Linked DNA regions of Arabidopsis thaliana. The protein of the gene in region 2 interacts with the protein of the main gene of each other region in a biochemical or structural test. Each region holds a gene or a part of one and is shown on either strand. Other genes may lie near its edges. The genes, in order: NRPB11 and NRPE3B.

Region 1 (3,929 bases), on a different chromosome or scaffold from region 2:
ACCGAGAGGCACTAGCCTTCGCTGCACAAGTGGCTCGACATCCTGCTGTGAAATTAAAGGTTATACGTTTCTTGGAAGACAAGAGCTCTCAAAACGCACAAAAACGAAGCAGCATCCTGAACAGAGCGAGTGTGGTAGATCAAGAGGAGGAAATGAAGCTTGATGATGAATGTTTTGCTGAGTTCTACGAAAGATACATAGCTGGAGGTGGAAGAGTGTCTTACATGGAGAAGCATCTCACCAACTCCTCTGAGACTTTCACAGCTCTTAAATCACTAGATGGAGAGTATGGGCTGGTGATTGTAGGAAGAGGAGGGGGAAGAGCGAGCAGTGGGTTAACCACCGGCCTCAACGACTGGCAGCAATGTCCAGAGCTTGGTCCCATAGGTGACGTTCTTTCAGGATCAGATTTCTCACACAACACATCAATGTTAATTATTCAGCAGCAGCGTACTCGGGGTCAGCTAGAAGGGCTTCATGATGACTTCACTATACTGTGAATATCTGTACAAATGCACTTTACTTAGTAGCTTGGGAAGAGTAGTAGCTTCACCATCACAACTCTTAAAGAGACTTTGTACAATAGTTCAAACATTAAGCGGTTTATGTAGATAGAATGGTAAAAAGAAGAGGTAATCTAAGCATTACTTCATAGCATCCTGAAATGGTGTTGAAACATAGAGTTAAAAGAAGTTACAGGCCGATTTGTTTTTGATTTATACAAAGCATAACTAGGGAAAATTTCCCAAGCTCATTATTAGTCTTGATTGGTGCTTAGCAAAAGACAATGTAAAACGTTTTCCCCGATGTGCTGATGGAGAACTCCAAGTTCCTTAAAACTGATTCGAAAACTTGGCCACCTCTGCCTGAAAACACAGAAGGGTATACCATAAGACCAGGTACATCAAACAACATCAATAGCATTTGATATTCGTCTAGCTTATTAACCACATAATCAGATAAGTATATCCGAAGAGAGAAACTTATGTACCTCAAACTGGTTCTTCAAGTAGTCGAGCTCCTTGTCCAAGTCATTGATGGCCTGGTTGTATGCTTGCATTGGGGAAGACTGGCTTGTTGTGTGAATCTACATACAGAAACCACTTTCACAATTAAACAACAACATACAAGATCTTTCTATAAGTCCTTAAGCAACCAGTAATCCCAGAGGAAACTGTTAACACTAGAAGCTTAAACCAAGAAATATTCACGGTTTCCAAACAACCATACACTACTTTTAAGTTCCTAAACCAATCTTTTGGATCCTAAGGTCAATCAATGAACTGAAAAAAACGCAGAGGATAGCATTGTTCTTTCCAATTCAAAGCAACAGGCTCTACAGTAGAAGCAACTGAAAAACTTGGAACTTACCCTCACTATGATTTTGTACTTAAGAGGATGAGGAAGTTGGTATCCAGCAAACAAGACATTCTCGTCGCGATGAAGTTGCCTAAAACAAAAATTTCAGAACAGAGCTGACAAAAATTAGGGCTTTCTTCTTTCTGAGAAAAGAGTTGCAAAATCAACAAAAAGACGTACATGCGGACAATGTTTCCAATCGTATGGTCTTCTCTCTCAACCGTGAAGGAAGCAGCATTGATGATCTTCGTATCCCTATCATAAGAAACCCTAGAACATAGAAATCGAGAGGGTTTAGCACATGTAAGAGGACTATCGAGTATGATTTCGAGTGATAGAAACTTCAATTACTTCTTGGTGCCTTCAGGGACGACGAATCGCTCATATCGTTCGGGAGCATTCATGGCTTAATCGGAGATTTCAAGCTTCGCTCTCTTTTTCGCCGCAGAGAGACAGTCAAGAGTTCTTCAGTTTCTTTCTGGCAAACAAAATATAATACGACGTCGTTTTTCATAAAAGAAAAAAGATCGAATCTCCACGTGTTATATTATTATTGGTGTATACAGTTTGGGTCGGATCGGGCCGATAAAACATAATATTTCCGTTTAAGGACCTCTAGGTTTATATTATTTACACAATAAAGGACGAGTGATTTAATTCAGAAACCTAACAAAAAATTCAGGAAAAAAAGAAAAGAAGTCAGATCCCTAAAAATCGAACCCGAAAGCGTAAAACTTGAAAACCGACTATGGCCTTTCACGTAGCTTGTCCAATTACATGGTATGTTTTTTTTTCTTTCTTTTGGCGCCTCCTTTACTCGTTGGCTTGTTTGTTTTTACTAATCGAATTGTTCTAATTTGGGGGTTTTCTTCTTTCTTTCGTTCTTTCTCCGCAGCCGGAAAATTTGCTTCTGCGTTTTGGGGTTTTCTCGGAATCTTCATGGTAATGAAGTCAAGGATGTGTATCTCAAAGAGATCCATTCTCTTCAGGAGTTCGTGCGAAACCCCTGGGATGCTGAGGTTTCCAAGGACGGTACCGTTCAGATCCATGTGCCTAAGCTTGCTGTTTTCGATACTGGTCCTCGCATTGCGGCTAGAAATGTTGGTGTTGGGAGTGATTCGGCGATGGAGGTTGTTGCTGCATCATCGAATTTGGTACCAGCTAAACGCACCTTGGTGTTGCAGAAGAAGGCTGTGGAAGTTTATGCTGCGAATGATTGTTCTGGCGACTTAGAGGTTCGAATTCTTACTTGCGAAACTTGTTTTTGTGGTTAGGGGTTACTGCTATGTCAATTGAATTGAACTTGTTTATAGGAATCTGTCTTTGTGAGAAAACGTGTTTTCAGTGATGTTGATTATCTGTATCTCGTGTATGTGTTTTGGTGTTGTCCTGTCTTTTCGGGTTCTGTAATCTATGATTTATATGTAAACTACTTGTGATTTTTTGGATGATTATGAAGTCTATTCTCGTCAAGACACTAATTCAATGTTATGTCTTTCTCTATGTAGGTTTCAGTCAAAGACCTCAATGAAGAAGATCATGATCATCACAGTGCAAGCATAACATGTCACATGTGCTATTTGGTTGAAGTTGGGAAGAGTGAGAGAGCCAAGATGCTTTCTTGCAAATGTTGTGGGAAGAAGTATCATAGAAACTGCGTGAAGTCTTGGGCCCAACATAGAGGTATTGTTTCATAGGAATCTATTGTTTATGACTTATGAGTCTTTCTGCCTAGATTCTTATACCGGTTTTTGCTAGCAGATCTTTTTAATTGGAGCTCTTGGGCGTGCCCATCTTGCCGAATCTGTGAGGTATGTTCGGACACAACTTTGTGCTCAATGATTATTCTTGCTCTTTACATGCTGGGCTAGGTATGACTGCTGCTTGATTATTTGTATTCTTTTGATCATTTTTCCTTTAGGGCTGCGGGACTTTAGGGGATCCAAAAAAGTTTATGTTCTGCAAAAGATGTGATGATGCATATCATTGTGATTGCCAACATCCTCGGCACAAGGTATAGTATTTATTGCGTCTGTATAAGGTTCTTATCTTATCTTTTGCAAATTGGTTTATTTTAATCTCTGAATATTACAGAATGTTAGTTCTGGACCCTATTTGTGTCCTAAGCACACCAAATGTTACAGTTGTGAGTCTACAGTCCCTGGGAATGGCCAGAGCTTACGGTATTTAACTTTTTGCCTTGTGATACTTGAAATTTATTCATGTAAAGTGCACTATCTCTTATTATTCCTTCTAAACTTTGCAGGTGGTTTTTGGGGCATACTTGTTGTGATGCTTGTGGAAGGTTGTTTGTTAAGGGGAATTATTGTCCTGTATGTTTGAAGGTATATTTACATATTCTCCTCCTCGGTGATAGGAAAACGTGCGCTCTGTTTCCAAGCATCATATTTAGATATTCTTGGCCATAATTAATAGAGTTATGTATTTTGGAGTTGTTACCCTATACTATCCAGACATCTGTATTGCAAAAGCAGTTATTTGCAGAATTTTCTTACATTCTTTGAATTGACAAATTATTTTGATTTCATCACGTAGGTTTACAGGGACTC
Region 2 (3,929 bases):
GATTATGAGTTGAGTTGAGTTGGGTTACCCATTTTGACACTCCTAGGTATCAGCATTAAGAAGAAACAAATATTTTTCATCCACTCACATTTTTTTTTTAAGTATACATATATATATCTAACATGTGGATATATATTATTTTTTTAGATAAATTAATAGAAAAATATTAACTTGGTTTTGTTAGAGTATCTCACTAATATAATATTAAACTTTTCAATATTAGTTTAATATTTTGTTTTTACCTTAATTAATATCAATTAAAATCTTTTTTCCTATATTAACTAACCCATTCTTAACAATGACAACAAAAAAAACGCCAATTACGAGAGAGTTCAACGACTAAAAATAACCCAACATAACAAGGTTCAGGAACACAAGGATCAGTCAGAGGTCGGGAACAAAGACAAGACTGCCACTTTACATGTTGCTATCAAACAAGGCAGTGCCGCTACGGTTAATATATTAGTCTGGTCTAGAAGAAACTTAAACCCTGATCAAACAGGTAAAAAAAGAGCTACGATTTCATCCTTCACGCATATGGGCACCGAGTTCACCAAACTGATCATCGGCTTCTACAGTGTTATCTGAGAGACGGATTGCATCAAGCTTCTGCTTCAGGATATCAATGGCATTTAGTACCAGCTGAGAAGCCTTCAATGCACCTGTGGACTCAACAGTGAATACAAAACTATCATGTTTCGGATGGATCTCAATGAGTCCCGGTTTCCCCATTGCTTCAGCTTTCTTGATCACTTCTTCATCGTAAGTGTATGCTTCAGGATCAACCACCACAACCTAAGAAGCAAAGTATTATAATTACAGTTGTGATGATTCAAACAATAGACTGCAAAAGAAATGAGCTAAACGCACTAAACACTTAAAGAAAATTCATACACCACATCACATACATATATTTCAAAGCATGGTAGCCTATAAAGTAGTACAATCATATTGAAGTCTCAAAGCTATAAACTTGTATAGATGTTATTCTTACAGAACATCGAAATTAACCTGTCCGGTGACTGGGTCAATGCCAAACACTTTGGTAGGACTGCTCTCAATCAAGTCAATTTTTTCCTCATCTGTCAAAGTGTTCATCATCTCTTCATTGATAATAATGTCAGGCTCATACATATACGTAACAGTAGCTGCAGGAGACCATTTCGCATGATCTTTCCCAATTCCTTTCCTAGCTAATGCTTTAAGCTTCAACTCTTGTCCCCTGCGTAGTTTCGCAATGATAATTCCCCTGAAACCAAAACAATAACAGTCTAAGAAACTGCAGAAAAAAAAGCCACAGAACTACCAAAAGGAAGACTCATGCAAAGGGCATCTAAAGATGTCAAATTTTGTTTAGCATTGTGTAATATCTAAGCTTAGCAATTCCAATCAATTCATAAAGAACAAATAATCACTACAATGATGAAAAGGGACTTACTTGTGCTCGCTTGAATCAGAAGTAGATGAGTTACTAGTGAAATCAACAGGAGTAACAGTAGGATCAGCACTGTAGAGATCCCTACTAGTAACATCTAGGGTTTGGTCAGTAACACACTTAGCACTAAGGGGAAACTCAACAGAGCAGAACTCGCAATGTTCATCTCCATTACAATCTTCACAATCTTGACAGAACCGCATGCTCATAGCACGCTCGCTAGTGAGAGGGATGAGACTAAGTCGTTGAGCAATGAACTCGTCGTTGAGAACAGAGGAATTAACCTCGATTTTGACGAGATGGATTGCCATGGTGGGGACTTCGGAGATCATTACGCGACGGAGAGCGTTGGCCATTGAAACGTCGGTTTCACGAAGCTCGAACTTGGCGTAGTCATCTTTAAGCTCACGGATCTTCACCGTTGGGAATCTTTGGTAGGTGACACCGTCCATTTCAAAAGCTGTTCCTTCTGACGACTCTGGGACTCTTAGGGTAATGACTTTTCGATTTCTTCGCCGGAGAAGAAGAAGAAATTTGGAGAGAGCAAAGTGAGTGAGAGTGGAAAAAGGTATAAGAAGAACTATAGTAGTTTAAGTTGGGCCTATATGGGCCTATTCTTTTGTTTACTGGGCATTTTCAGGCTTCTCATAACAGTTATTGGGAATGGTCAAAATGTCTACAATGGATTTTCTGTTTACATCAATTCAAATAATGACCCAATGTTATTTTAAGACTTTTTAATCTTTATAATTTGAATTACATAATAATAATTTTGGAAATACAAATATTAAAAAGAATCGAAATTCCATATTTTTAACAGTAACTTGGATTAAAAACATTATATAAAGAGTAAAAAGGATTAAAAATGCATTGGTTCATAAAGAATAATGGTAAATTTGTTGTTTTAATCTTTATATAGTGTTTTTCCAAAATTATTCTTTCTAATTACAATTAAAATTTTTTTACATAATTAATTTTAATGGTAATTATGTGAATGGTTTCGGACAATGTACAAGTTGTACTCATCATTATTCCGCTTATTTTCATAATTATTCCGCTTATTTTCATTGACACAATTAAATCTTGACCTAAATCTAAAAGATTACATATAATATATTTTATCCAACAGAAAATATAAATTATTTTTAAAAATAGAATTTTAGTGGGTTTTGGGGCTTTAAGTGCACTGATCATGTCTGGTCCAAAATTCTAATATTGCTTTCCTTTTTTATTTTTATTTTGCCAAGAAACCAATTCCGGGTTTAACTTCCTTGTAAAACCATCCTTTTCATATATATGATATTTGCAGTTTAGCCAAAAAAAAAAAGTTGAATTTTAATCAACATTTTTAAGCACGACGGTTTCAACTAGTAGTACCATATCGCGGGTTATACCATTACCGGAATTTATTAGAGATTTTCAAAATTTACCTGATTGAAAATTAGCGGATTGTAGTGTTGGAGCCAAACTGGATTAGTGACTGAGTCATCGGGTTTACCGGGCCAACCGCGGTTCCGCTCGAATCTGAATACATTTCCCTCGTCAAAATAAAAAAAGTCAGAGGACGATTGGTCGATGAGAAAAACATTTAATAAAGGAAAAAAAAATGAAAAAACAAATGGGGCCTTTGGAGCGATGTGATGACGTGGCAACCCCCGGAGACTTTCAAATAGCATATTGAGAGTTTTACATGCATGTGAATATCAAGGGTAACATCTAGAGTCATATGAATTGCGCGTGTTATGTCGTTGTTAGTCGTTCATGTTAACAATAATCTACGTATACCGTTTGTGACTTTTAAAACTAAGTTCATGAACCTATTACATATAGATCAAAATCTGGACCATAATTTTATTGGTGTATTGTTAGAAACTTAAAGTTCATATCACTTTCTCTATGTTTCGTGGCCTACTTGCAATTTTTTAGGAATCTTTTGACCATTAGTTTTTTAAACGAGTTTAGGACTTTGATCACTAAGGTAAATCGTTTAAACAATTTGGGATCACTTAATTATTGACATGATTGTATGTTTTGATTGGGCATGTCAAACAGATCTCAATATTTATGTAATTACAAATTATTGCATATTTCAATACATCAATGTCATGGTCTTCACAACGTGCCTGACAAATCCTAGTTGTTTGGATTCCAAATTGTTAATAATTCACAAGAGCTCTCCCATAGGAAGTTTCTTCGATAATTCTGAATATTATATAATACAAAATCACAATTTGGAGTTTAAAGACTTTTCTTCTATTAAACAAAATAGAGTCACGTTTGGAGTTCGTTGATAGTCACAACTTAACAATGACACATTAGAATATTCAAAGTTTTATCTTATTGATCAGTGATTGACATTAAAAGTTGTAATCAAGTTATATAAGCGTTGTAAACTCTTTTTGAATCATCTTCACAAACTAAAAGTCAACATGTATCATATATTTCAGATCTCCGGCGAAGTTATCAAGGGTTTGGGATTGAAGACGAAAATTCT

Evidence for each region.
Region 1: the proteins of NRPE3B (region 2) and NRPB11 form a complex in vitro, tested with the Arabidopsis thaliana proteins (one study listed by BioGRID).

Annotation. Positions count from the first base shown.
Region 1 is NC_003074.8:19,317,236-19,321,164, forward strand, and holds NRPB11 (DNA-directed RNA polymerase, RBP11-like protein), read right to left. Parts: upstream 1,889-3,929; 5' UTR 1,764-1,888; coding exon 1,711-1,763; intron 1,630-1,710; coding exon 1,540-1,629; intron 1,451-1,539; coding exon 1,372-1,450; intron 1,266-1,371; coding exon 1,176-1,265; intron 1,088-1,175; coding exon 992-1,087; intron 867-991; coding exon 834-866; 3' UTR 614-833; downstream 1-613. Other genes in the region: chx28 (cation/hydrogen exchanger 28), read left to right, coding at 1-500; AT3G52100 (RING/FYVE/PHD-type zinc finger family protein), read left to right, coding at 2,108-2,139, 2,255-2,594, 2,673-2,726, 2,868-3,042, 3,121-3,170, 3,281-3,373, 3,454-3,542, 3,626-3,704 and 1 more.
Region 2 is NC_003071.7:6,710,980-6,714,908, reverse strand, and holds NRPE3B (DNA-directed RNA polymerase family protein), read right to left. Parts: upstream 2,015-3,929; 5' UTR 1,888-2,014; coding exon 1,439-1,887; intron 1,250-1,438; coding exon 1,012-1,249; coding exon of another isoform or gene 991-1,011; exon of another isoform or gene 796-990; coding exon 523-795; 3' UTR 300-522; downstream 1-299. Other genes in the region: FUT4 (fucosyltransferase 4), read left to right, coding at 3,865-3,929. UniProt on the Arabidopsis thaliana protein: DNA-dependent RNA polymerase catalyzes the transcription of DNA into RNA using the four ribonucleoside triphosphates as substrates.